Macaca fascicularis: one gene and its partners. The protein of the gene in region 3 purifies or fractionates together with the protein of the main gene of each other region. This does not show direct contact. Links are inferred from orthologs where the notes say so. Each region holds a gene or a part of one and is shown on either strand. Other genes may lie near its edges.

The links.
Region 1: the proteins of CSNK2B (region 3) and RPS6KA3 purify together in Homo sapiens (affinity purification with mass spectrometry; 5 studies listed by BioGRID and IntAct, with this or other methods). This does not show direct contact. The link is inferred for Macaca fascicularis from reciprocal best matches to the Homo sapiens genes CSNK2B and RPS6KA3.
Region 2: the proteins of CSNK2B (region 3) and CCNL1 purify together in Homo sapiens (co-immunoprecipitation; 3 studies listed by BioGRID and IntAct, with this or other methods). This does not show direct contact. The link is inferred for Macaca fascicularis from reciprocal best matches to the Homo sapiens genes CSNK2B and CCNL1.
Region 4: the proteins of CSNK2B (region 3) and ARK2N purify together in Homo sapiens (co-immunoprecipitation; 3 studies listed by BioGRID and IntAct, with this or other methods). This does not show direct contact. The link is inferred for Macaca fascicularis from reciprocal best matches to the Homo sapiens genes CSNK2B and ARK2N.
Region 5: the proteins of CSNK2B (region 3) and KAT6A purify together in Homo sapiens (affinity purification with mass spectrometry; 3 studies listed by BioGRID and IntAct, with this or other methods). This does not show direct contact. The link is inferred for Macaca fascicularis from reciprocal best matches to the Homo sapiens genes CSNK2B and KAT6A.
Region 6: the proteins of CSNK2B (region 3) and PHRF1 purify together in Homo sapiens (affinity purification with mass spectrometry; 3 studies listed by BioGRID and IntAct, with this or other methods). This does not show direct contact. The link is inferred for Macaca fascicularis from reciprocal best matches to the Homo sapiens genes CSNK2B and PHRF1.
Region 7: the proteins of CSNK2B (region 3) and GPATCH2L purify together in Homo sapiens (co-immunoprecipitation; 3 studies listed by BioGRID and IntAct, with this or other methods). This does not show direct contact. The link is inferred for Macaca fascicularis from reciprocal best matches to the Homo sapiens genes CSNK2B and GPATCH2L.

What each region holds. Positions count from the first base shown.
Region 1 is NC_088395.1:20,038,703-20,042,202, reverse strand, and holds part of RPS6KA3 (ribosomal protein S6 kinase alpha-3), read left to right. Parts: intron 1-897; coding exon 898-1,022; intron 1,023-3,253; coding exon 3,254-3,379; intron 3,380-3,500. UniProt on the Homo sapiens protein: Serine/threonine-protein kinase that acts downstream of ERK (MAPK1/ERK2 and MAPK3/ERK1) signaling and mediates mitogenic and stress-induced activation of the transcription factors CREB1, ETV1/ER81 and NR4A1/NUR77, regulates translation through RPS6 and EIF4B phosphorylation, and mediates cellular proliferation, survival, and differentiation by modulating mTOR signaling and repressing pro-apoptotic function of BAD and DAPK1.
Region 2 is NC_088376.1:60,118,865-60,122,364, forward strand, and holds part of CCNL1 (cyclin-L1), read right to left. Parts: intron 3,001-3,500; coding exon 2,880-3,000; intron 2,082-2,879; coding exon 2,017-2,081; intron 1,767-2,016; exon of another isoform or gene 214-1,766; coding exon 114-213; intron 2-113; coding exon 1-1. UniProt on the Homo sapiens protein: Involved in pre-mRNA splicing. Functions in association with cyclin-dependent kinases (CDKs). Inhibited by the CDK-specific inhibitor CDKN1A/p21. May play a role in the regulation of RNA polymerase II (pol II).
Region 3 is NC_088378.1:140,054,121-140,058,104, forward strand, and holds the start of CSNK2B (casein kinase II subunit beta), read right to left. Parts: upstream 2,801-3,984; 5' UTR 2,698-2,800; intron 2,115-2,697; 5' UTR 2,104-2,114; coding exon 2,032-2,103; intron 1,084-2,031; coding exon 981-1,083; intron 418-980; coding exon 302-417; intron 1-301. UniProt on the Homo sapiens protein: Regulatory subunit of casein kinase II/CK2.
Region 4 is NC_088392.1:43,648,450-43,652,738, forward strand, and holds the start of ARK2N (protein ARK2N), read right to left. Parts: upstream 2,801-4,289; 5' UTR 2,588-2,800; intron 2,237-2,587; exon of another isoform or gene 1,971-2,236; intron 1-1,970. UniProt on the Homo sapiens protein: AMPK substrate important for exercise capacity and skeletal muscle function.
Region 5 is NC_088382.1:45,478,714-45,482,213, forward strand, and holds part of KAT6A (histone acetyltransferase KAT6A), read right to left. Parts: intron 2,378-3,500; coding exon 2,058-2,377; intron 1-2,057. UniProt on the Homo sapiens protein: Histone acetyltransferase that acetylates lysine residues in histone H3 and histone H4 (in vitro). Component of the MOZ/MORF complex which has a histone H3 acetyltransferase activity. May act as a transcriptional coactivator for RUNX1 and RUNX2.
Region 6 is NC_088388.1:473,208-477,267, reverse strand, and holds the start of PHRF1 (PHD and RING finger domain-containing protein 1), read right to left. Parts: upstream 2,801-4,060; 5' UTR 2,634-2,800; intron 1-2,633.
Region 7 is NC_088381.1:144,121,254-144,125,228, reverse strand, and holds the start of GPATCH2L (G patch domain-containing protein 2-like), read right to left. Parts: upstream 2,801-3,975; 5' UTR 2,792-2,800; coding exon 2,714-2,791; exon of another isoform or gene 2,602-2,713; intron 2,172-2,601; coding exon 2,122-2,171; exon of another isoform or gene 1,930-2,121; intron 334-1,929; coding exon 1-333.

The DNA of each region.
Region 1 (3,500 bases), on a different chromosome or scaffold from region 3:
ATCTTTTCCAGACTCTGGGCGTAGTTGCTCACACCTGTAATCCCAGCACTTTGGGAGGCTGAGGCGAGCAGATCGCTTGAAGCCAGGAGTTCGAGACCAGTCTGGCCAACATAGTGAAACCCAGTCTCTACTAAAAATACCAAAATTAACTGGGTTTGGTGGCATGTGCCTGTAATCCCGGCTACTTGGGTGGCTAAGGCACGAGAATCACTTGAACCTGGGAGGTGGAGGTTGCAGTGCATCAAAATTGTGCCACTGCACTCCAGCCTGGGTGACAGAGCAAGACTGTCTCAAAAGGAAAAAAAGAAAATATTTTCCTGGATAACTCTCTATGCTATCTTCAAATCTCCCAAATTTGCTGTAGATCAACCTTGTATCTCCCCCATTGTCCCCCAAATAGGTTATTATTGAGGGCTGCAGTTTCTAATATGGTAGCTAGTAGCCACATGTGGCTAATTAAATTTAAATTAATTAAAATTTAAAATGTAGTTTCTCAGTCACACTAGGCACATTTCAAATGTTGAGAAGCTGCATGTAGCTAGTGGCTATCATATTAGACTGTAAAGATAAAGAAAATTTCTATCATTTCAGGAAATTCAATGGGACAGCATTAATTTTGAATACCATTAACCCTATAATTCATTGATTTATTATATTCTTCAAATGAACTAGCTATTTTCTAGGCTCCGAGGGACTAGGATGTTGGTGTTGTAATGGCAATACACAATCAGAACAGATCAGATACAGTGCCTCAGAGGTATCCCGGAAAGCAAGAGGTATATACTGTGTACCTGAGAAGTAGAATTCCAGAATAAGTGAAAAAGGTCGTAGTGTCAACAGTTTTTCACTCAATTTCCTTTCAAATGAATCTTCTTTGTCACGTCTTACTCTTTTCAGATTCACCTGGCATTCCACCTAGTGCTAATGCACATCAGCTTTTTCGGGGGTTTAGTTTTGTTGCTATTACCTCAGATGATGAAAGCCAGGCTATGCAGACAGTTGGTGTACATTCAATTGTTCAGGTGAGTGGATGTCTAAATAATTTTAGATTTGGAATGTTGTAAGATATAGTTCATTCTGTGAATAGATTTTTTTCTACTGACTTCAAGTGAGCAATTTAAAATACATTTTAGACCGGGCACTGTGGCTCACACCCGTAATCCCAGCACTTTGGGAGGCCGAGGCAGGTGGATCACTTGAGGTCAGAAGTTCAAGACCAGCCTGGCCAACATGGTGAAACCCCTATCTCTACTAAAAATACAAAAATGAGTTGGGCATGGTGGCGCGTGCCTGTAATTCCAGGTATTCAGGAGGCTGAGGCACAAGAATCACTTGATTTGGAGGCAGAGGTTGCAGTAAGCGGAGGTCGCACCACTGCACTCCAGCCTGGGTGACAGAGTTGAAACTGTCTCAAAAAATAAAATAAAATACATTTTATATCATTAACTTTACTCTTAGCAATTTTTTTCATATGTCATTGAAAAGGTTGCAAGAACCCAAATCCTAGATACCTATGTGACTTGAGTTTTAGGCCAGGCACGGTAGCTCAAGCTTGTAATCCCAGCACTTTGGGAGGCCGAGGCAGGCAGATCACGAGGTTAGGAGTTCGAGACCAGCCTGTCCAACACAGTGAAACCCTGTCCCTACTAAAAATACAAAAATTAGCTGGACATGGTGATGCATGCCTATAATCCCAGCTACTCTGGAGGCCGAGGCAGGAGAATCGCTTGAATCCAAGAGGCAGAGGTTGCAGTGAGCCAAGATCCACCACTGTACTCCAGCCTGGGCAACAGAGCTAGACTCTGTCTCAGAAAAAAAAAAAAAGAAAGTAGAATTTTAAAAGAGTTGAGATAAACATGACGATGTTGTCTATGTCCTCTCCTGTGCCTAAAAAATGTTTTTCATGCTGAATTTGTTTCACCCTCTGCCTCCTTCAGGTCAGCTATGATGAATTAAGGTCTTCTGGTTCTTCAATGTCTTAGAACAAGAGTCGGCAGACTTTCTCTGTGAAGTGTTAGATAATACTTGAGGCTTTGTGGGCTATATGGGCTCTGTCACAACTACTCAACTCTGCTATGTATCTCAAAACAGCCACAGACAATACATAAACAAGTGGGCATGGCTGTGTGCCAATAAAACTTTATTTACACACACGGGCAATGAATCAGATTTGGCTCACTGGCCATAGTTTGGCAACCTTTGCCTTAGAAAGATACAAGAAATAAAAATGAACTCAAATCTTAAGTCATCTTTCTAATCAAAGGGAACTAGATATATCTTTTGAAGCACTGGATTGTTTTTAGGATATCATTTGTACTTGGATTTGCTTGATGTTTAAGTTGCTTTTGCTCTAAAGTTTTTTCATGAGTTATCCTGTTTTCCATTTTGTAGAAAAACAATTAAAACACTGGTTTCTAAGCAGAGCTCGTGTTGAAATAGTCTGTGCCATTTACTATGCAAGCACGTGAATGTATGGCAAGTTTTTAAATTATAAATTCTGTACCTAACATAGAAACCACAAACATATATATTCTACAGAATTCAAATTTTAACATACACAAAGCTCATAGGCATGGATGTCTCATATCAGTATAGCCAAGGGCAACACAACTTTCCTCAGCCTGTTTATGGAATCAATAAGTTGCTGTTCATCATCTACTGTATGTTATTAGTCCCTAACCCATGACCAGCTTCTTTAGCAGAAGTTGTGTAAGGCTATGACTTCAGGATGAAGAAAGGAGGGTGTGGCTACTGAAAGTCCAAAATGTCGGTAACAGGTATTGCTTGCAAATACATTATTTTTATTTAATCTTCACCATTACCCTCTGAGAAAATACAGGCTCAAAGTTACATAGCCTGTAAGTGGTGCATCTGAGACAAGAATTCAGATATTCTAATTCTGAATCCTCCTAAATCCTTTCCTTCTATACCATAGGTTTCAAATTTCACATTTGCAAAGGTGCCTGAAAACCTATAGCCAATTGGGGAGTGGAATAAGGCTGAATCACAGACAAAGATACAGGCTCCATTTCAAGTAGCTCCGCTTTTAAAGTCATATTTCTTGCTGTACATTTCATTGTAAACACTTCCAAAATCACTTGTTTGTAGAAGAATAAGTACTATAAAGATGTATTTTTATTCTTATTCATTTATATGTAGAGCTTCAACAATGCATGCTGAGGAACATACTTCCCTATTATAAAATGCACTAAAGGCATTATGGGACTCTTCACCAATTTATAATTTTTTGTAGCAGTTACACAGGAACAGTATTCAGTTTACTGATGGATATGAAGTAAAAGAAGATATTGGAGTTGGCTCCTACTCTGTTTGCAAGAGATGTATACATAAAGCTACAAACATGGAGTTTGCAGTGAAGGTAAATATTTTTTTAGTTAAAATGCAATTTGTACAGTTCTTGTTCATGCATGTCAGTACCAGTTAAAAATTACACTCCTCTTGTTGTTAAAAGTGCCTTTTGTTATGAAAAAGTTAAATAT
Region 2 (3,500 bases), on a different chromosome or scaffold from region 3:
TCTAAACCATAAGAACAGAATGGTTTAGGTTAAATTTTTGCTAAATCTGTATTGGAACCACCGAAAATTTGTGTGATTTATCCTACAGAACAAAATGGGAAATATACACCTACCTGAAGTGCTCTAGCTGCAAGGTAGATGCAAGCACATGCTATAGTCTCTGGTTGAAATCGAACAAAAACATTGGTTCGAAGACTGTCATTCATGTAATTCCTGAAAAATATTTCAACTATAAGCTTGTATGTAAACAAACCAGTTCTTCTGAAGCTTACATAAAATTGGAGACTCAATCTACTTTATTCTTTTTTCTTCTCTTATTTATATTCACATCCTCAAATTCTAGCATATAACAACTCTTAATTCAAAAAAATCAGTAAGCAGTAAGAATTTAATAGTAGGACCATTTGCAATTTTCCTATATATGAGCGAAGCTCTTTTAAATTATTTCGTATTACAATCCAACTAGAAATTACTCCTAAAGTTAATATATTTCTGTAAAAAGCAATGCTTTCAAAGTCAATTCTGACATGATTAGTTTCAGAAATGATAAACCACTCCAATAATACTTCAAGCCATTAATTACTGACCATCTCTCCTTTATCCACAATAAAAGCAGTGTCAACCAAGTTCTTTTCAAAAGCTCAAAATACCGTTAACAGGGGTAAAAAGGCATTTTCAGTAGGTAACAAGTTAAACTTATATTAAGAAATTAAGATATTTAGAAAATCTAGATAGGGAAGTAAAGAGCAATAAACATATATAATGGCCTTGTTTACATACCTTTTTTGTGACTAGGTAAAAGAGATAAACTACTTCAGTTAAAAAATTGCTGAACTTTTATTAATGAACCCTCCCCACAACATTCCTAAACTATTAAAGAAATTTTACAGGTCATTTAAAAGGTTAAGCTGAAATTAAATGGACTATTTCTTAAAAATCCTAAACCATGAGAACTGCTATAATCCATTTTATGCAACACATACTTAAAATGTCATGCATTTTATAAAAGTAATGAGACTTTTCTAACATTACAAATATTTACTGAGTCCAAAAGAAGCATGGCAGTCATTAAAAGGACATCTTGCTGGGAAGTCCAAAATATAAAAATTACTTCACTAAGTCCTTCACATCAATAGTCTTAGGAAACAGTAGTTGTGGCTGATCCACAAACTCCTTGGCTTGACCTTTAAATAAGCCAGCACTCTAAATCACACATCTGCATCTCAAAAAGTCCAAGTGCTAAGGCATTTAAGCAATATAATAGTAACATCTCTTTTAAAAATGAAGTGCTTCTTGCTTCTAATATTACCCGCAATACAGCCAAGCAGTTATAGCAGTTATATAAATTAAGCCAGTGTGGGAACTGGTTCCCATTTTAAGCTGCAAGTTTGTAGTCTCCTTTGGTAGAATTCACGCTATACATACTAAAAATAAAAATTTAGTCAAACTCCTAATAAGAAACCATTTAATTCATAATGGCTGGACAACAAATCTATCAAAAATGAACTATTCATTTTGATAGTTACAAGTATACATTAAATACATAGGCATGTCAAATAGTTACTTCTAGAAGCAAATATACAAATCCTTTTGACACCCCGACAGAACTAGAAGATGCTGCCAGATGGATATGGACCACTTCAGTGAATCTCGGATGAGAGCTTGCACTGGATTGGCTGGAGAGCAGGGTAGCCAATCAGGCCATCCTGAGGTCATGGGCTGAAGTGCAGAGGGCAGAGTTCTATGACTTACCATCATGGACTACCCTTTAATTAAAGAGTAGAAAAAAGAACAAAGTTAAATTGAGTTCTCCATTAAAAGTAATTAGTCAAGCCAAGAAAACAGGAAGCAGAAATAAGCATTATTTACCTTTTGGTTAAAAAAAAAAACAAAAACAAAAAACAACAAAAAGCCCCAAACAAACTTATCTCATTATTTTGGAAAGGGAAAATGAAACTTACTTTATTTCTGCTTCTGTTTTCCTGGCTAGGAAAGAAATCTAAAAAAGTGACTTACCAGGCAGTTTGAACCAGGGTTTGATTACGTTCACATTCTAAGACTTGTAAATACATAACAATGATCTGAAGGACAAGGGAAAAAAACTCAATTTAGTATACTGGTAGTTCTTTCCGAGTAGAGTTCAATGAAAAAAGTAATTGAAAATGTTAGATTCAAGTTATAATTCTGCATCGATAATACAGACCAATTTAAATGTACGTAAGATTCTATTGTGAACTGTTATATGACTAGATTTTATATAAATTCTGTTTAGAAGTACATTTCAGAATTGTACAGGAAAAAAAGGAAACTAAAAGAGTATTTTTCATTGGCACTTTACTATGTGATGGGCACTGTGCTAGATTATTTCACCTAATTTCCCAAGGTACATTTCTAGCCCAGGTAGTCCTGACCTGGGTAACTCACTCTACCGCTTATATTGCGGTAAGAGAAAGCTAAGAGATGTTGGGAGAAACAAATTTCCGATAATGCTAACAGTGAGCAGCCAACACACTTAGAACATTCTACTATGACAGTAAGTGTGCCAGACATTTTTGTAGCTACACATTTATTCCTTGGAATGAGGAACTTTACATCTCTGTATTCTAGGTGGAAAAACTGGGACTTTAACCACAGAAACAAAAATAACTTCTCTATGAGCACACAATTAAGATTTAAGATTTGAATCTACATTTTTGACTGTCACTTTACTGATAAATCTCAACATCCAAAAGAATGTTTTTCGATGAAGCCTGAACCTTTAAAGGAATGCTTTTTAAAACCAAGGTTAATGCTCAGATAGAAACATAAATTCATATAAAATAGAATTTTTATAAAAGTCCTAATACTTACGAACCCAATTTCTGTACTCTACAACTCACCTTATGAGGATGCTTGACATGAACACAAAATCCCAACTCCTTTAGCACCCTCCTCTCTGCTTTGATAACTTGATTTTTGGTGTTAATGTAGTTCTGATCAAGGATCAGGGGGCTTGGAGTCCTATAGTTTGTAAGAAATAAAATCAAAACTGTTTTGCACATCCAAAAAATTTTATTTGTGGCATCTCCATTTTCCCTTCCAACCAACTATTGGCAACAGAAACCAGCTTTTTAAACTCCTGCAAACAAGTTAAAGCATTAATCTTGTGCTGTCCAAGTTATGCTAATTAAATATATACATCTACGAGACTAAGTTCCTAAAGGAACTAACAATTCTGTAATGAAAAAAATTCACTCCAATGCTCTAATTCATCCTTGCCAACTTTTCCATTCTGCTTATATTCTAGGAGTATATATATATATATATATATATGTATTTAACTTTAGTGATAGCATGATTTGTTATCACAAACCTCAAAGTCTCTCCAAGAGACTTTCCACTGGCCAAAGTAATGTGCTCCAGGCTGGTCCGATAGTAGTGGGTTATCAGAACTTACTAAAATCAGTGTCACTAAAGTTGGTATACAATCCCCCCACTGCTATTTGACTGGCTTAAAAAAA
Region 3 (3,984 bases):
CAAACTCCTATGTTGCCTTTCTTCCAGTTAGGCAGGCTACAAACCATCAGAGCCATTTGTTGTTTGTTCCCTGAGGAAGAGGCAGTCTATCACAACTCTCTGTTCAAGGACTGTCTCCCTCCCTGAAAATTATCCCTTCAGGATGACCCCCAATCAGAATTCAATTCCCAGGCCCAAGCCTGGGGTTCTTCTCCTCTTCTCAGCCAGTTTCCTTAAACAAGGCTTAAACATGACTTCTTGCTGCAGGAACCTGTGTCCCTTACTGCTCAGAAGGAGGCAATTAGGAGCAGAGAGGCCTCACCATCTGGGCAATGCCACGGTTGGTAAGGATGTAGCGGGCGTGGATCAATCCATAAAGCATCTCGGCAGCCTGCTCAATCAGGTCACTCTGGTTGGGGTTGTCTTCCAGTTCTTCATCTGAAACACAGCCCGGCCAAATGCAACCACTTGTTTTTCAGCTTTCCTAGGTGCCCTGCCCATATCCAGGGGGTGCGGGCTATTCAGTTCGCCTGGCACCTACTTTTGGGCCTTACCCCATCCAACATCTGGGCATGTGACCCAGAAACCTGGGCTTCTGACCCTTGCGCCAACCCAAGACAGCTCTGTCTTCTCTTCACACCTCTTTAGCCTCCGCTCCCCACTCTCCCTCCCAGCTCCCTCCCCGATACATAACTGCAACAATGTCAATGCAAAAGATGAAACTCTAGACTGGAAGGTGCAAAGCAGGAGAAATAGCAAACCAGACCCATGAGGAAACATATTTTGGAAAACATCTGAATTGTGGATTTAGAAAACATGGGAACAAGTGATATACGTCACAAAACTAGACACAGTCAGGTGGAGGATCAAAATAAAGCATGAATTTGGGGTTAAAGAAATCAGAGAACCAAAGGAAATTTCAAAATTCAAGTAAGTGAATATAGATTTGAAGAGAAAAAAAGTGCATGCACACACACAAAACAACCCTGAGGGTGCCTCACCAGGCTCCAGGTCCAAGATCATGTCTAGAGCTTGTCGATAGTGAGGAACCTGCTCATTGAGTCCAGTAAGATTAAATTTGTCCTGGATGTAGTCTTCATCCACCTGTTGGGACATGGAAGCCAAGAGGGAACCCATATCAAAATCCCCATCTTTGACCTGGGCAAAATGCTCTAACTGATGCCTTATCATCAACACAACTGCATCTGTTCCGCTTGTTTCTCACTCCCAACTCAGCAGAAGTACTTGCGTCTCTCCCTAGTTCACCTATACTCCCTCCCATAAAGCTTTGGCTTTTCTTTTCTAAGGATAAGCAGGTACAGCAATCTTTTTCTTAGACATTCTTTTCAAGATCTCTGTCCCTACTCCTGTACTCCATCTCTAGGAACCAGTTTTGTCCTCTCAGCTGGCTGAGGAGGATGGAAGCTGAACGGCATGGTTTCTGAACAAAACATTTCAATACGTAGCATTTCAATTTTCCTAACAGCCAGCTGAGACAGGTACTAGCAGTACAACTTTAGTAATAAAAGATACAGGCTGGGCGCAATGGCTTATGCCTGTAATCCCAGCACTTTGGGAGGCTGAGGCGGGCAGATCACCTGAGGTCTGGAGTTTGAGACCAGCCTGGCCAACATGGTGAAACCCTGTCTCTACTAAAAATCCAAAAATTAGCCGGGCGTGGTGGCGGGTACTTGTAATCCCAGCTACTTGGGTGGCTGGAGCAGGAGAATCGCTTGAACCTGGGGGGCAGAGGTCGCAGTGAGCCGAGATCGCACCACTACACTCCAGCCTGGGCGACACAGTGAGACCCAGTCTCAAAAAAAAGATAAAGAAAAAGACACAAATTGCCTGCTGGAGGGTGGCAGAGTCGAAACTTGGGCCCCAGTTTTGCCACTTTAGCACAGGTTCGTCGGGGGTTATTGAGGGGACTCTTCGTTGATGGGAAGTTTTCAAGTAGTATGTAAGAGAACAGTGTAGAAGTGGAATACGTGAAGGAACATCTGGTGGGAAGATATGTGAAGCCAGCAAGTAGGGAGGTCGAAGAGAACTCACTTCACAGAAGAATTCATTGCCACGGAGCCCACAGAACCAGGAAATCCAGGACACCTCCTCTGAGCTGCTCATCTTCACGTCAGCTGAAAAAAAGAGTGTCAGTAAAGCTCAAGTTCTCCTTCCCTGCCTCGGGTATCCTCCCTCCTCCCACATTAGAACCACCCTTTCTTAAAGGATCCCAAACTCTGAAGCACTCCTCTCCAACTCCTCCAATTTACATCTCAGTTCCCTTTTCTTTGACGTTAAACATTCTTTGGGGTCCCACCACTTGAAAGAAGCCAACAGATACTTTGACCCACCAGCCCGACCCACGTCCCTGGAGCTCCCGAAAGCCAGGGCCCTCTCTTCTCTGTGTCAACTCCGGCAGGGACCTCGACTCAGGCTCCGTACCAATGCAAGTCTCTGCACGACCCCGGCGCCTTTCCCAAGGATTTCCAAGTTTATCACTCTCAAGCAAGAATCGGGCGCCTCCTTTTCTCAAGGGTTGGGGGCGACTGTCAGGTCCCTTTCACCGGATTCCACACATCCCCCCTCCGCTCCTCAAGCCACCTCTCCCTCCTTGCCGGACCTGGTTGCTTCCTCCCCCCGCCCCCATATCAAAGTGCGGAGACCCATGTGCGGCTCCCAGCGACAAGCGACTAGGAGCAGCGAAGACCTCAGACTCACCAGCTGGACGGGGACCAGGACTGGGGTGGGGTAGGGAAGTTGCTACTTCGAAGGAACGGCGGCGACCGCTACAGCGCAGGCCGCGGACCCGACCGCGGCAGGCGAAGTGGGGTGGGGGGAGTGGAAATTGGGGAGGGTGGGGAAGAGGGCAACACGCAAGCGCCAAGGGTCAGGTGCCGCGGTGGATGCCGGGACGCGGAGTCCCCGGTAGAGAGAGAAACCGGCTAAGTGAGGGAAAGCGAACTACCAATCCCAGGATGACCCGCGCACGACCTGGCTGTCACGAAGCCCCGGAGGAGGACGCTTGCGGGCGGGGCGCAACGAGAAGCCACCGGAAGCGGAAACCAGGTATGGCGTTCGGGGCCTGGGAGCCTGGGCAATACAGTTGTGTGCTCACTGGGCGAAGAAGCTGACTTAGGGCGGGGAAAGGAGGGAGCCAGGCTGGACCCCTCCTCGCAGCTCTCCTCACAGTTGCCCTCTAGTCCCGACGCGGTGCTGCTTCCCTGGGGACTGGCCTATCCTTGGCCAATGCGCTGGGTCCTTATTGCCTGTTGGGCCCCTAGTGCGAGTCAGTCCCGCCAGAGACCCTTGACGGGCCTTCTGTTTTACTCCGGGCTCCGGCCTCATGAGGCGAGAGGTGCGGCTTGGCTCCGTGCGTAGGGACTTGGGTTGGGAGGGCTGGGCTGGGCTGGGCTGGGCTGGGCTGGGCTGGGCTGGGCTGGGCTGGGTGAGAACCAGAACGGCCCAGTGCGCTAACCTGAGGTGGTGCCAGCCATTCTGCTCGTCCCCTTGCACTTCTCCATTTCCCCTTAGTCTCTAAGTGTGACCTTCGAACCCTGGTCAGAGTAATGGTGAGGGGCAGGCGTGACGTTATTTCATTACACGGCTTCTCGGCATTCCACAGGTTTCCCTCCGCCTCCTGAGGGCCTTTCCTAACCCAGAGAGTGGATTCCTAGCTCCAGAAAATGGGCTTGGAGCGGGGGCCACGTAGAGGAAGGCGAAGGGCATTGTGGGGGCGTTATGTAAAAGTAGGACCCCAACCGACAGATCCTAGCGCTCGCGCCACCTGGGCGCGCGGAGCTTTGCTCGTTTACTATTGGAAAAGTTCCAGCGCGGGAAACTGAACCGGGAGCTTTGCGCACGCCTGAGCCATCAAGTAATGTGGGTGGTGGTTTTTGTTGTTGTTGTCGCCACGCATGCGTCTCCGTGCCGTGTGGCTATTTGATTGTGTCAACTCTGCTGATCAGAATAGCGCCATTTTGCGTTACGGAAGCTACACGGCAACAC
Region 4 (4,289 bases), on a different chromosome or scaffold from region 3:
CACAAGCGCACAGAATTTACTAGTCATACAATAAAAAGACTGAAAGTACCAATGTCACTATTAACATTAGGAGCAAGAAACCTTTGAAGGACATGCATTAGCCCTCAGTCCTAAAGGAACTGCATTAAATTAGAACCTAAAGCTGAATTTATCTTTACTATATGGGTTTTGAATTAATCATGATAACCATAAAACAAAGATTATGACAGCTACTCTCAAATAGATGCATGTTAAAGTAATATAAAGTGAGTAAGTAACAACTACACTGTGAACTTATTCTAACAATGGGGAAAGTTTCCAGCTCCAATGTCCAGTCCATCCCATTTTTCACAAAAAGGTGTCAGAAAAAAAAATTTTCCCAAAAATGTGTCAGAAAAAAAATTTTTCCCATTAAGAAATCTGATTCAGGCCGGGCGCGGTGGCTCACGCCTGTAATTCCAGCACTTTGGGAAGCTGAGGAGAGCGGATCACGAGGTCAGGAGTTCAAGAGCAGCCTGGCCAACGTGGTGAAACCCCGTCTCTACTAAAAATACAAAAATTAGCTGGGCGTGGCTCGTGTCCGTAATCCCAGCTACTCGGGAGGCTGAGGCAGGATAATTGCTTGAACCAGGACCCGGGAGGCGGAGGTTGCAGTGAGCAGAGATCACACCACTGAACTCCAGCCTGGGCTACAGAGCAGACTCCGTCTCAAATAAATAAATAAATAAATAAAATAGCGATGTGACTCCTCAGGACATCAGGTAGTAACTATCAATTGCAGGCCTCTAAAAATGCTTGTTAAACCAAAAGGCAATGCTCTGATTACTGGAGGAATCTAGATTGCCAGGATCAGCAAAACTACATTAGAAAGTTAATAGCTTCCATCCTTAAAATATCCCAAGAGAAGAAAGGGAGTGATTCAAACTGTTAGCATGTACCCAATACTACACAATAATAGCCTAAGCAAAATTGGCAGATGTATTTGTAATTAAGAAGTCCAACCTTGACGAAGTATTATCAGTGGGATTTTAATTTTACTGGGTGGGAGGATTCAAAAAGCAAAAGGTCAGGCAAAAAACGAAAAACCCATCCAAGCCGAAACTGCTCAAGGATCTATCTGGGAGGGCTCCTACCGATGTTCTCTACTTCAACCTGCGAACATCAATTTTGTGATGGGGGCTGCCGGGGACGGAGTGGGGTGGGGGGTAGGCGGACAATTTAAAAGTGAGAATGAATGGCTTGCGTAAAGGCGATAGTCTTTAAGCCGGGTTCGTCAGTGTACATCCTCACCGGTTTTGAAATAAAGTTGACGAACTCCCCAGAAGCGGTCAATTTTGGAGACTGACACATCTCTCCCATTGACCGGAGGCGCCTGCCGACCGAAGGTAGTGGAAACGCCGAGAGGCAGGCGGCGCCAAGCCTAAGAAAGCCTTTTCTCCCTCCTCCAAGGCCACTGCGGCCGCAGCCCTGGAGCTCTCCACTGCAGGGGCAGGTATCGGCGCCAGACCCCCGGCTCGCGGAGCTGGCGGAGTTGCCGCCACTGCTTCCCAGGCGGGCCTAGGAGCCAGAAAGTTGCGTGAAGACAACTCCAACGCCGTGAAGCCGCTTCCCCCCGCAGCCCGGGGACTGCGGCACCTCCAGCCTCTCCTTAGTACCCCACGGAAAAGGACTTGCCTCGACCCGGCCCCAGCGTCTGGGGGCTTGGGGTGCCGTAGCCAACTCCGCCGGGCCGGGAGGACGCTAGGGTCACCAGCGGCTGACGAGCAAGGAGGTTGGAGCGGTGCGATGCCCCCGCGTCAGACGCCAGTCCAGGCTGCGAGTTCCCGGCGCCCACCAGCCGGGCCCGCCAGGATCCCAGCGTCCGGACGCCGCAGAGCCCTCACCGCGGCCCGCAGCCCTCCGACTCGCCCCGACGCATCCCTGGGACGCAGCCCGGGCTCCGCAACTCGACCAGTAGCCAGGCCGCGGCCCTGCGCCCCTTCCCGCCTCACCTGCGCTCCGCTGCGACTCCGTGCCTCCTCGCTCGCTCCGCGCGCGCCCCGTCGGGGCACGCACCGACCCCCCGGCTGGGACTCTCCCCGCTGCGGTGACTCAGGACGCGACGGCCACCGCCGCCTTCTCCTCCTCGGAACAAGCGCCGGCGGCGAGCAGAGGGTCGCGGTCAGAGCCCCTGCCGGGATCAAAGTGAACCTCGCCGCCTCCGCAGCCTCTACCACCAAGTCCCTTCAGTCGTCCGCGCCGCCCCCAAGAAAATGTCACCAGAGGCCGTTCCGCTCGGCGCCTCACTTCCGCCCGGAAACACAGAGCCTGCGTCGGCCGGCTAGAGAGGCTGCTGCGCCGGGGACCTCTGGAGACTGGCGCCCGAGGCCCGAGAAAAGCCAGACAGCGCCATCTGGCGCGATGGAACCCGCGCTCCTCCCGCTGCAGACCGCGGGGCGTAAAGGCGCCAGCTCCCCGGGCTTCTTTCCCGCGCTCCCTCCTTCTGTTGAGACTGTCTCCTTCCAGAAATGTCTTTCCCGGGGTGTGTGAAAGCCACTCAATGCAAGACAAGGACAATGCCTTCAACAAAGGACAGCGCTCCCTTTTCTGTGCGCTGCTCAGTACTCACCCCCTCCTGAAGCCCTTCCGAAAGCAGCTCGCGGTGTCTGAATCTTTGAGTCGCTCCAGCCTCCGGAGGGCCCGCGCCCTTCTCTCCCCGCTTTTTCGCGGATGCGGACAGCTGGGCTCGCGGAGACTCAGCCGGGCTCGGGGAGACTAGGCTGAGGTCTTCTTGGGCAGCGGCACCAACATCTGCTCAAGTTTCTGCCGGGGCACCTTGCAGGCCTTGCAGATCGACCGCCACCTGCTGGTGGGACGGGGCCCGCAGGGGAGACGCCGCTCTGCCCCGAATTCCGCCTCTGCAGTCGCCCTCCGATTTGCAGTCAGCCCTTAGGAGGGTAGGGGAAAGGAGGTGGATCGAACCCCGAGAACGGGGAGGAGGGCGCGGGCCAACTGGCGGGTAGAGGGCTTCCCAAGGAGAAGCAGGAGATGCTGAAGACGCATCTCACGACTCAAGATCTGGCCAAGGACCCGCGCTCACCCAAAGCACTGCAGTGTTTTGAGAAGAAAAATAATAATAATAAAGCTTTCACCTTTACAGAGCTGTGCTGGAACCTCGGATGAGACCCGTCAAGAGGAGATTCTGAAAATCTTACACTACTGAGTCCGTACTCCCCTAAACATCAGTATCCCCCTTCAGACCAGGCCCATTAGTTCCCCCACTTCACTCATTTTTTCTGACTGCCTACAGGAGTGCGAGTTTTTCATCCCTAACTACAAGAATAATTATGAAAAGAAAATAACTTTTATTGAATGCCTATTACATACCAGGCACTTTGCATTTAAATGGGTTAAATTCAATGAATCCTCTTTACAACTCATAACAACCCTATGAGTTGGATGGCATTACTAGCCCCAAGTTGCAAAGGTGGAAACTGAGGCACAGAGTGACCTGCCCAAGATGACACATCCAAGTAAGTGGCAGTGTTGGATTACAACACAGGCAGAGCTTACTTCTTAACCACAGCCACCACTGCCTCATTGAGAATCACTGAGAACGTAGTGTGTGCTAGCTAAGTAGTTTATCTGTATATGTTATTTCACTCGTTCATTCATGTATTTACTTTCTGCTACCTGAGTCCTCAAGGGATTTGAGAGGTTGTGGGGTAGTGACAAGAGCCCAGCCTCTTGCAGGAAAAAAAGAAAAGCAAAGAAAAAATCACTACTAAGATCACAACTGTCCGAAAATGAATGAGTGAATGTGGACTAACACACTGAGTTTTTAAAAGATTCCATGACAGTCTGATCTAACCAATGCTGTGGGAATACTGCCCTGACTACTGAGATACCATCTTGGGTCCTTCTCCTGTTTTTTGTTGTTATTGTTGTTTCTTTGTTTTTTGTTCTGTTTTGTTTTGTTTTTTTCTTGAGACAGAGTCTTGCTCTGTCACCCAGACTGGAGTGTAGTGGCGCCATCTTGGCTCACTGCAACCTCTGCCCCCCCAGTTCAAGCGATTCTCCTGCCTCAGCCTCCCGAGTAGCTGGGATTACAGGCGCATGCCACCACGCCCGGCTAATTTTTAATATTTTTTAGTAGAGACAGGGTTTCACCATGTTGGCCAGGCTAGTCTCGAACTCCTGACCTCAGGTTCTCCACCCGCCTCAGCCTCCCAAAGTGCTAGGATTACAAGTGTAAGCCACCACACCCAGCCCCTTCTCCTGTTTAATACCAATAAGTCAGTTTCCTGCAGCGAATGGCCTTTGCATATTTT
Region 5 (3,500 bases), on a different chromosome or scaffold from region 3:
GAAGAATATAGCATTAAATTGACTCCTAGAAGAATACTACTCAATAAATAATATTTATGTATTAAATCTGCCTTATAGTGGAAATCCTGAATTGTCTTAAAGCTTCCTAAAAATATTATATAACTAAATTTAAATTTCATTAAAAGATTTTAATACACAGAAAGGCAGACAGAAAAATGGTATAAGGATTATAAATTTCATTTTGAAACAGTATAAATTTGACACTTTTAGTATAGGTTTAATGTATTAATGTTCAAAAAAACCTCTTGAGCTACCTTAACTGATGTCAGAAGTGCTAACTCCCATCACATTCTGGGTGCCCTTTTAAAGCACAAACTCCACAAACCTGAGGATAACAGATGATAATCATCTGGGTAAATATGAAAACGTATGATAATTATCTACAAAATGATGGAACTTCCTCAAGTGGGCAAAAAACCAGTGAAAAGAGTTATTTGGGAATTATGCAGATCATTATCCTTTGCAGTTGAAGATGACACTGCTGATGGGCTCATTTGCTCTTTTTATGAGTATGGCTGAAAAGACCAATTGGTGACAGTTCTTCTCAAGTCAACTGCCCATATAGGCCATCTATTATTAACCTAACACAAGAAGAAAAAGGTCAAGGACTCACTGTTGACAACATTCCCAAACTGGAAGAAAAAAGTACAGTCTAAAGGTACTATGTGACTTTAACGCCCCCTAGTGCATGATGCAGGCACCTCTCTAATACAGCATTCGGTAGTTAAACTTTATAATTCATAAAGAAAATGACAGAGCCTATTAAAGCAAATGCTCACACCACTGCCTAAAATTCAATATTGGTTCTCCATATACTTGATACATTTGCTCTAACAATTTCTATTTCAAAAGCTTTCTAGTAATTTTTCTAATAAACCATCTCCAGTACAAAAGGTTAATTCAAAAATGTCTTTCATTAGGATTTACTTTGAGATTCTTTCCAAGTTTAAACGGATTGCATATTTTCTTAGATAAACATGCTCAGACCCAGAGCTTATCTGCAGGCTGATAAAGACATGAAGAGTCTTGAATGCTTAAAGAGTAATTAGCTGATCATCACTATGGTGAAAGACCAATCAATAAAGCATACAAAGGGGACTCTAACAATTACAAGGACTTTCTCTCCTGCACTGGACAATCAACTAGTTATGAAAGCAGGAATGAGAGCAGTGAATACACTCTCACTCACCGAGGAGACATTCAGGGAGGAAACCAAGGTCAGGGAATTCTCCTGCAGTAGATGAGACACTACAACTCTGGCCTTTGTGATCCAAAGGAGTTCATTCTCATTCTACTTTCTTCAAGCCCTTTCTACTTCCTTCACAGGGTTAGTTTCTCTAAATTCAAGGCTCAGCAATAAGGCTATTTTAAGCTTTAATTTATTAGACAGTTAATCAAATTCTTATCCTCTGACTTGAATGATCTGCTACATTATTAAGTCCTCTCCATAGATGTTTTCTACTTTGAAAACTAGGGAACTTAGCCTGATACACAAGCAGCCTGGAGCTGTCGTTCTGTCTCTCCCTTTTTAAGTGCAATCCATGACTTACAACTATATTTGTCAAGATCTGAAGTAGAAAAGTCAATGACCTCATCACATCTGCATATATTTTGGTCTTTTCTTTATGCTTAGATAAACAGCATTTTACCCAGCTCTATTCTTTCCAGTTTCCTTCCTGGAATAAGCAGGCATCACAACATTCACCATATGATTTCTTCAGTAATTTATGAAATGTAAAGTAATCCTCAAGGTTACACCCCAAGTTTCTGTAGGCAGATTCTCTGCGCTTCTATAAAAAAGCAGCTTCCTGTTGCCTAAGAGTTCCTGTTGTCCCATTCTGCAACTTTATCTCCATCCTCTAAATTTCTGCCATAGTTACTACCTCAGTATCATCTATATGTTTTTTTAATGTGTTCTTATATTATATAACCAATTTTTTATAATCAAATATAAATCTATTACAGATAATTAGTGTTATCCCAAATAATACATGTACAGAATACTATTTGTTTCTAAGTTTGTTCTAAACTCTTACCTGTGGGCCAATCTGAAGTGCTTGATTTCCTGTTGCCCCTCTTTCTGATTCGATATTGCTCAGAGTAGTCCACCACTTCCCCACGAGCTTTCCGACCATCAGGGGAAGGGGTAAAAAATTTGGTAAGGCCATCAATGAGCCCTTTGGTTTTCTTGTTGAACTTCAAGGAGACACTGCTATCTCTGCAGAAGTCCAAGCCATCTATCCGTTCTAAATATCCTTCTTCTGATGATGATGATGCTGATTGGCTGGAAAGAGTCATTTTTCGTTTCCTACCCCTTCCAGGGCCAGTTCGAACTTTGCTGAAGGGACCTTTTGATCTAAATAATTAAACAGGAGAAAGAGTAACTATTAAAAAAGATACTTATAGGGTTCCTATTTAATACACAACATACAATTAGTAAGTAACCTATACCTTTATTAAAATCTGTATTTTTAAGAATATTCTGCAAACTATAAATAGTACTCTATGAATGAAAATTAAATATTAGAAACATCTATTTCCAGGAAGCCTACTTATAGTGCAAAGAATTATAGGCCAGGAGTCAGAAGACTTGTTCTAGTCATAACTCTCTCTCTTACTAGCTGTACAACTTGGACAAATCACATTTTTTCTAAACATACGTCTTCATCTGTAAAATGAGAACTGGACTAAGAACAACTAAGATCCTTCCAGGTATAAAGTTCTACTACACTGTGATCTCTGCACCAACTCAAAGTTATACTTTTATCTCTAAAACACAAGGCCAGGTTATTCTTTGAAGGCCGGGAATCAAAAGATCATTTTATAGGAAAATCAAAGCTGGATTTAAGATTTTGAATACAGACTACAATACCGGTTCTGCACACTTCAGGTTGCTAATGCCCATTCATTTCAGTTATATCACCTTCAAGATAGTCTTACGTGTAAAAAAGGTAAGTAAAACTTTTGAGAATAAAGGGAGGTTGACGAGCCTGAAGATATTTACATATTTATCAAAGGTGAGTTACTACAGATATTTTTAAAAAGACAAAACTAGCTTCTGAATCTTGCCCCACCTCCTCCAGACATAGCCCAGCTTTCTAGTCCACAATTTCTGATTTCTGCTAATAGATGAAAACATTCAAATTATTTTACATTCCAAGAACACAAAAATGGGACTTAGCCATCACCTCAACAGGAAGAACCTATCCAGTGGTTTGTACACCTAATAGATGTTAACAACTGAGACAAGATCAGGAGAGGGACATGTGAAATGTCACAGTAACAACTTTTTCTTTCCTGTTTTTATATAAGAGAAGCAACATAAGGCAATGGTTAAGAGTCAGATTTTGGTGCCAGACTACTTGGATTTTCATCCCAGTTCAACATGTACTATGCCTTAGTTTCTTCCTTTGAAAAACGAAAGTTAACAACAGCAGCTATATTTCACTGGGTTGCTGGGAGAATTAAACAATTCAATG
Region 6 (4,060 bases), on a different chromosome or scaffold from region 3:
AATACAAAAAACTAGCCGGGCGCGGTGGCAGGTGCCTGTAGTCCCAGCTACTCGGGAGGCTGAGGCAGGAGAATGGCATGAACCTGGGAGGTGGAGCTTGCAGTGAGTGGAGATCATACCACTGCACTCCAGCCCGGGCGACACAGCGAGACTCCCGTCTCAAAAAAAAAAAGTGAATCGGCAGCCGGGCGCGGTGGCTCACGCCTGTCATCCTAACACTTTCGGAGGCCAAGACGGGCAGATTGCCTGAGCTCAGGAGTTCGAGACCAGCCTAGGCAACACAATGAAACCCCATCTCTACCAAAATACAAAAAATGAACTGGGCGTGGTGGCATGCGCCTGAGTCCCAGCCACTCGGGAGGCTGAGGCAGGAGAATTGCTTAAACCTGGCAGGCAGAGGTTGCAGTGAGCTGAGATCGCGCCACTACACTCCAGCCTGGGTGACAGAGCGACACTCTGTCTCCTTTAAAAAAAAAAAAAAAAAAAAAAGTGAATTAGCCGGTGCGGTGGCTCACGCCTGTAATCCAAGCACTTTGGGAGGCCGAGGCAGGCAGATCACTTGAGCCTGCGAGTTAGGAGACCAGCCTGGGCAACATGGCGAAACCCTGTCTCTACAAAAAAATTTAAAAACCAGCTAGGTGTGGTGGAAACCGCCTGTAGTCTCAGCTACTTGGGAGTCTGAGGTGCAAAGATCACTTCACTTCAGGAGGTTGAGGCTGCAGTGAGCCATAATATGTGAACAAATAGCTCCTGGCTTCTCCCTTGATGCACTGAGATTGAGGACCACCTCCAAGGGTTAGGAAGGGCGACAGGCAATGGCTGGGCCTGCCCCAGGGCTGCCAGAAGAGACCAGTGAGGCCATGTGGGGTTTGGCACATAGGAGCTCGCCAGAAATACCAGCTCAGGAAAGAGGCTGAACTCTGCGAGTCCGTGTACCTGTGGGGCTAAGTCCTGAGGCCTTTGAACTTTACCACAGCTGGTGAGGGAAGCCTCCATGGGCCTCTTACAATCCTCCACCACAGCAGCAGGAAGGTTCAGGTTATGTGAGGCTGAACAACATCCTTTCCTGGGTATCCCACAACAGTAACTAGGGGTTATTTTGCCAAAGACGAGAAAATAACCCAGGAAGTCTCTGCAGATACCCTCCAGCACAACCACCAGAAACAAGACATTTTGGGACCACCAAGAACCCCGCAGTCAGGATGCGGGTTAATGGGAACCCCTAGTTTAGGACCTCCTGGTTGCACCAGCAGCCCCAGCTCCACATCTTCCCTTCCCCATATCCACCTCTGCCGTGTCCCAGGCCACAGGCCAGGAAGCCATTTCCGCAGAAAAGACCACAGCCCTTCCCAGCTGTTGGCCACCTTCGGCTGGGCTAGCAGAGCTCTGGGGTGGAGGGACCACTGTGGTTCTCCTGCTTAGACTCCAGATTGGGGGATTAAAGGGGAAAAGAAAACCGGAAACGCTATTTCTCTCTCTCTTCGAATTCAGGGGAACCAACGCACTGGCAGTCCCAATTGTTACTGAGGAATGAAAAGGGCCTTTGGTGTCCGGGGTGCCTGCAATCCCTTTCCATGCCAGTCCTCGAACCTGAGTGCCCATCTCAGGCACTGAACAAGCCTGCAGCCAAGTCCAACATCTCAACTCAGGCCAACTTTTATTCTTGTATTCACCATTTGCTGTATCAGCTAGGAGACCTCAAAACTGTAAACTGCAATGATAGTCAAAAAGTCAGGTATGAACAAAGGTCTCCGCGGGCCTGAGATGAACACAGCGCTGCTGAGGGCCACGGCCAGGCTTGTCGTAGCCATGATGCTGAGGCGTCATCCATCCACTAGTACTCTGACTTAACATTCTTCCCATAAGAAAGAAAACCGGGTGGTCCAGGAGAGAGGTCAAGTATGCCAACCCCGAAGTCAAACCTCAGCTCAGCTTCAGAGCCTGTCCAGTGACCACAGGCCACAATGTGGTTCACCCAGCTGACTGCTGTTCTGCTGTTGTCGAAACAAGTAAAGCGCGGAAACTCCAAAGAAGGGGTAACACAAGCAGCGTCAAAAAGAGCACGGTCGGAGTCGGGGCTGGCGCGGACCCGGCCGCCGGCTCTGCCCCTCCCCGACTGTGTGGCGCGGGCCAGTTACTTAGCCTTTCTGGGCTCCAATCCCCTCATCGGTAAAACGGGAACAATGCCTACTCCAGAGGGGCTGTTGTGAGAACTGCAAGAGTTAAGGAATAGGAAAACCGCCAGCCACACGGGCCTGTGGACATGCAGACAAGGCTCGAAGCCCATGAAGGCAACCACGCACAGAGGCTGGCAACAAGGCAGCGAAGTCACAGCGCTCTTCCAAACGCGGCAGGGCGGACTCGCAGGGGGCACGCGCGTGGGTGCCACGGGGCGAGGCAGGTGGGCTCCCGCCGCGTCCCCGCAAGCCCCGGACGTCCGCCCGCAGGCCACGGGCCTCCCAGTCTCGGCGGGGCCTCCCAGCGCGCGCGCCCGCCCGCCCTCCCGGCCCGCGGCCAGCGCGGAGCAGGCCTCGCCCCACGGTGCAGGCCGCAGACAAAGCGCGTGGCGCCCACAGGCGGCCCGCGGCCCGGAGGAGCAGGGACCCCAGGGCCGGCGCGGCCGCCGCACGTACCCGGAAACCTCGCGTCCCGCAGCCGCTCCTGAGGGCTCGCCGCCGCTGCCCGACCGAGAGTCGCTACTAGGCCCGGCCCGGCCGCAGCCGCCGCCGCCGCGCGCTCTTCGACCCGGAAGTGCACGGCGCCTCTTCCGGGCCCCTGCGTCCCGTCCCGCCCGTTGACTGGAACCACTGGGACCAGAGCGGGAAATAAATGGCTGAAATGAGGAAGGTACCACTCCCTGCAGCCAGGGATCTCGAGGCGTTTAAACGGTTTCCCTTCCACCTTGGAAACACTGTCTAATGCAGGACTGCTGCCCGGAGAGATCAGTATCCTGGAAAAGCTCGTACTGTTTAACCCCCGACCGTGGGCTGGTCGAGGCCCTCCCCCCCCGCGGCCGGGACAGCTGGTACCGCCCGGATCTCCGCCCACCGCCCAGAGCGAATGGGAGCTGCTTCCTGTACGTCAGCTCCGCCCCCACGCCCGCAGCCCTGTGTCTCCTCGGGCCCGCAGCCCCACCCCGCCCCCACGCACGTAGCCCCGCCCCCACACCCTCAGCCCCGCCCCACCCCGCGCCCGCAGCTCCGCCCCCACGCCCGCAGCCCCGCCCCGCCTCGGGCCCGCAGCCCCACGGCCCCGCCCCCACCCTCGCAGCCCCGTCTGGCGCCCGCTGCTCCGCAGCCCCGCCCCACCCTCGCAGCCCCGCCCCCGCACTGCAACCCCGCCCCCCTGCCCGCAGCCCCTTCGCAGGCCCGCGCGCGGCCGGAGCCCTGGGGAGGGCTGTCCTGGCGTCCGCTGCTACTAGCGCCGCGCTCCTCTGACCAAACACTGCGGGAGCCTTCAGTGAGCCGGCTATTCCAACCTAGCCACACGTCTGTCCGTCCCGCAGCAGGCGCGGTGAAACGTGCGCGCTGGCGAACTAGGCGGGCTCGGCAGGACGCGGCCGTGCCGTCCCGTGTGGATTTGGCGCCGGGTGGCCCTGAGGATGTCGCGCAGAAGCCGTACGGGCCTCGGGACGCAGGCCCGCGTGGCTGCAGCGCACCCGGGGAGGCTCTGGGGGTCCCGAGCAGGCGCAGGCTCGCGAGACCCCCTGGCCGCTGCGGGGAGCGCTGGGGAGGCGTCCAGAGCGGGCGCCAGAGACCCGCGGGCGCCCGGTGCAGGGGCTGCCGGGGCTGGGGCCCGGGTGTGGGAAGTGCCCGCTCCCGGTAGATGCTGAAGGCGGAGTTGCCAGGATTTGCTGAGGACTTTTGGAGGAATGAGGCGGGGAAGGACGAGCTTGAGAACCGACACCGGAGAGATGGGGAAGACGGGGGAGGCCTGAGCGCGGGCTGGCATGGCTGGGGAGGTTGTGCACTGCCCAAGGATGCTCACTGAGGAGCGTCTTCACGTTTCATCGTGGGTTCCGTGTTTATTACGACAACTACCAGCAGCTCCCGAGGAGCAG
Region 7 (3,975 bases), on a different chromosome or scaffold from region 3:
TGCTTACTCTTAACAATGGCATTGAGAGCTGGGTGTCGTTTGGCCACCATTGTGTCATCAGAGTCACTAAAATTGGTCACGGGAGCCACTTCTCGACAGTCCTTAGTGGCCTCATCCAGACTTGACTCAGAGGCCTCGCTGTAGCAGCAGGTATGCTCTGCCAGGTGAGTGAAGTCAGAACGACGCTTCCGACCTCGGCGTTTCCGAAGCTGCCTCCTCTGCTGCCGGGGGCTCAGGGCCATCTCCTCCCACAGCTCACCAAGCTTATTCTGCTCAGATGTCTGCTCCAAGGCTGAGGCTAAGTCGTGTACCAGCTCATCCATGAGGCCACATCTGCCAAAAGGAAGTTTGGCGGGGGGTGGGGGGGAGAAAGAAAAGAAAAAGAAAAAGAAAGCCTGAAAAGGATCTGTTGTTTCGGAATAATTTGATGAAACAGATCATGGTAGTCCACAGTACTGCCTGTCTAAATGAAATAAGTCACCTTTCATCTGGCTACACTTAGATTCTGTTCCTACCACTTCCTAAAGCCACTAAAAATAGATGTTTTGTCCCTTGTTAAACGCCTGAAGTCAACATATTCTTAAGCACAAAAACCTACTCACCAGATGACAACTGGGACAGGACCCAAAACAAATTCGGGGGACTAGATCCTTCTCACTTTTCCCCAGTTAAACTTGTCACTGAATTACCTAATGATGAGATCCAGAAAGATTAGAGGCTGTCTCACTAGACAGGAGTAGAAAAACATACAACTTCAAAATCACACTAGAGTTGCAGAAACACAGAGCAGGACACGGTCTCATCGAGGTATTGAGAATGAATGAAAAACTGTTCTTTGGCCTGGGGTCACTGCTGACAATGACCATGGCAGAAAGAAACAGAAAGACAACTTAGTGATACCCTTTAAGGAAGAATGCAGTTTTCATGATCCAAGAAATTGTAGTGGCCAGGTTTGAAGTCAGAATGGAGAAGAGACTAAGTTTGCACCCATTCTGGTACCAACTACCACCTGGAAGCTACCAGGTATAGAACCTTATACAGTAGGTCATATATTTTTGAATAATTAACAATTTTTAAGCCCCTCTCCTACTCTTCAGAAAATAAATGTCCGAATGTCCGTCCTAGTTATGTGCTTCAGTGCCACACAATCACACAAAAATAGGATACAACAGCAGCTGAAATGACAGGGATAGGGTGAAGTTTCTAAGATTTCTGGCTGAACTGCTTTCCAAAATTTCTTATTTTTCTGTTTATCCTCAAACCAAACATCACACTTCAGGAGTCACTTCAGAGGCAAACATTTCAACAAATGAGAGTAGTAGGAACAATCTTCAAAATTCCCTCTTAAGGGGAAATGTTTAATTTGTATAGCAGCTAATTAAATACACATTAAACTTTTAGCACTTTTCCCTTGCCTCTATGCCCAAAGTATTTCAATATCATGTTAAAATTCTATGTGGTGCCGCTCTCTCACCATATTCCCATTCATTCAGTTTTCACTTTGCAAAGGGCTTTCTAAAACCTGTTTTCACGCTGTGCCTATGCCAATGAATTTAAAGACAGGAAAACAGTCCTGGGGCTTATCTGCCACACCTGTAGGAGCAATGGTGACACCTACTTCCAAAACTACCATACAAACGAAGCTTCTCAAAGTGTCCAAAGGCACATACATTTAAACAAGACCAAGTTCTTTTAAGCATTAAGAAGTGATTTATTAACAGCTGTGAAAAGAAGGGGAAAAAATGGAAAAAAAAAAAAAAGTGGATTAAAATGCCATGATTGAGGTTTGGGAGACAACTGTCCCTAAGACCAAAATAAAGAAACAAGTGGGAACAGCATGCCTAAATCTACTTCCCTAATAAAGAATTACTGCTTTAAAAACTCAGGCAACTAAAATACAAAAAAATAATAATAATAACAAATAAAAACCTCAGGCAGAATAGCACAAACTTGAACACGGAACGAAGTCACCAAACAACTGGTAGTCGAATGCTTGTGCAGAATCCTTTCCTGCCTCAAAGCCTGTAATTCGAACAGTGGGTGACAGAAGAACCCTAGGGCTCCCCCCATCTCCAGTCGCGGGTGCACACTCTCGAGAGGACCCGGCGTCCAGGCACGCACCCGGGTAGAGATGAGGCTGAGTCACGCACAGGAAGGAACGGGTAGGGCAGCTGGTGGACAGCAAGTAAGAAGAGAAACAGGAGCAGGGTGGAAGTGAGGGGCGGAGTAGGAGGTGGGAGAGGCAGGAGGCAACTTCTCATTTGGGCTCACCAGGGGCGGGGGTCGGCTCTTCTAGGGCAGAAACTGAAAAAATGCAAGTCGTGGCGACTGAGCTCCCTCCGGGATCGGGGGTCGCAACACGGCCACATATGTGAGAAAAACTGTGTTTCGAAGGACTCTCCACCTCGCCCCGGCCCGTCCCTGAGGGCTGGGGCGACCATGGCTCGGGACACCAAGCCCTCACGCTGCCGCCAGCCCCAGAGAGGCAGAAAGAAGAAAGAGGAAGAGGGGGCTGTGGCCCCGAAGACGGCCCGACCCACATCCCCAGGGATGGTGACAAGGGCCCTGAAAAGCAAGGCCCCACCACCCTCACCCTCCGGCCAGCTGCCGCAGCCCCAAGACGCCCTTAGCCGCTCAGCCGCGGCTTGGCGCTCCGATCCCCTCTGGTACTAGCCCCCAGGACCCCAACACTAAAACCACTCCTCCCCCTCACCAGCTGCCGCAGCCACCTCCAACGGCCGCCGCTTTTTGGGCCGACTCTCACCGCCAGGGCTTCCCTCTCTGACCTCATTTCCGGTCTGGGCCGGAGGGGTGGGGCGGCGGCGAGTGGGAGGGGCTGGCTGCAAGATTGGGCCCCTGACCCATTGCTTCCGCCCGTGGCCACACCCACTTCCGCCCCGTGGTGGGCGGAGCCACAGGAAGCCAGAAGATGGGGCAGGGGACAAGGAGGGGTGCTGAGTAAGGTCTGGCCGGGAAAGGGCGTTTCACGGGTTGAGGTGCCCATGTGGGGAAAGACCCCTGCATGCTGGCCTCATCTTCCTTATGGGCGTCCAGAAATTGGGCGCTAGGCAGGGGTGTCAGCTTCCCCCTTGCTTTCTGACCTTTTTAATGGGCCTATGAAGTTGAAGAGAAAAGGATCTTAATGACGTCTACCCTGTGAGCTGGTACAAACATTGGGAGGGGTGGTTCTTCACTGAGTTACTCAGAACATTACAAATTGCCTTGAGCAATAAAACAAGTGATATTGGATTATAACTCAAAGTATAAAAGAAATATTCATGAGCCCATACCGATATAAATAAGTGATTGAATAAATTAACGAATGAGGAAGAAGAGATAAATCCCCCACAGAAGAATCTCAAATAACTTATGTAGACAGCCATCCTGGAGCATAACTTCCACCTCCTTAAATGTGGGCTGTGCATAGTGACTTCCTTCCCAAAAGTACAACATCTGTAAAGGGGAAAATGAGTGATTTTACAGTGGGGAAACCTGGCAAACAGTAATTCAGCCAGGTGATCAAGACTATGTGCTAAATCATGTTGATAGTATGTGGACTGATATATGATGAGAATGGCACTTTATGCTACTTTCCTAACAAATCTCATAACCCAGTCTAATTATAAGAAACAAATCAGACAAACCCTAATTGAGGGACATTCTGCAGAGTACATGACCAGTATTCTTCAAAATTGTTAAGATCAGCAAAGGTAAGGGAAGTATAAGAAACTCAGAGCCAGGAGAAGCCTGAGGAGGCATGACAATGTAATACGGTATCCTGGGTGTGACACTGCAATTAAAAAAAGAACATTAGGTAAAAATTAAGGAAATCTGGATAAAGTATCAACTTTAGTTAATAATAACGTTATCGGGCCGGGCGAGGCGGCTCATGCCTGTAAACCCAGCACTTTGGGAGGCCAAGTCGGGCAGATCACCTGAGGTCGGGGGATTGAGACCATCCTGGCTAACATGGTG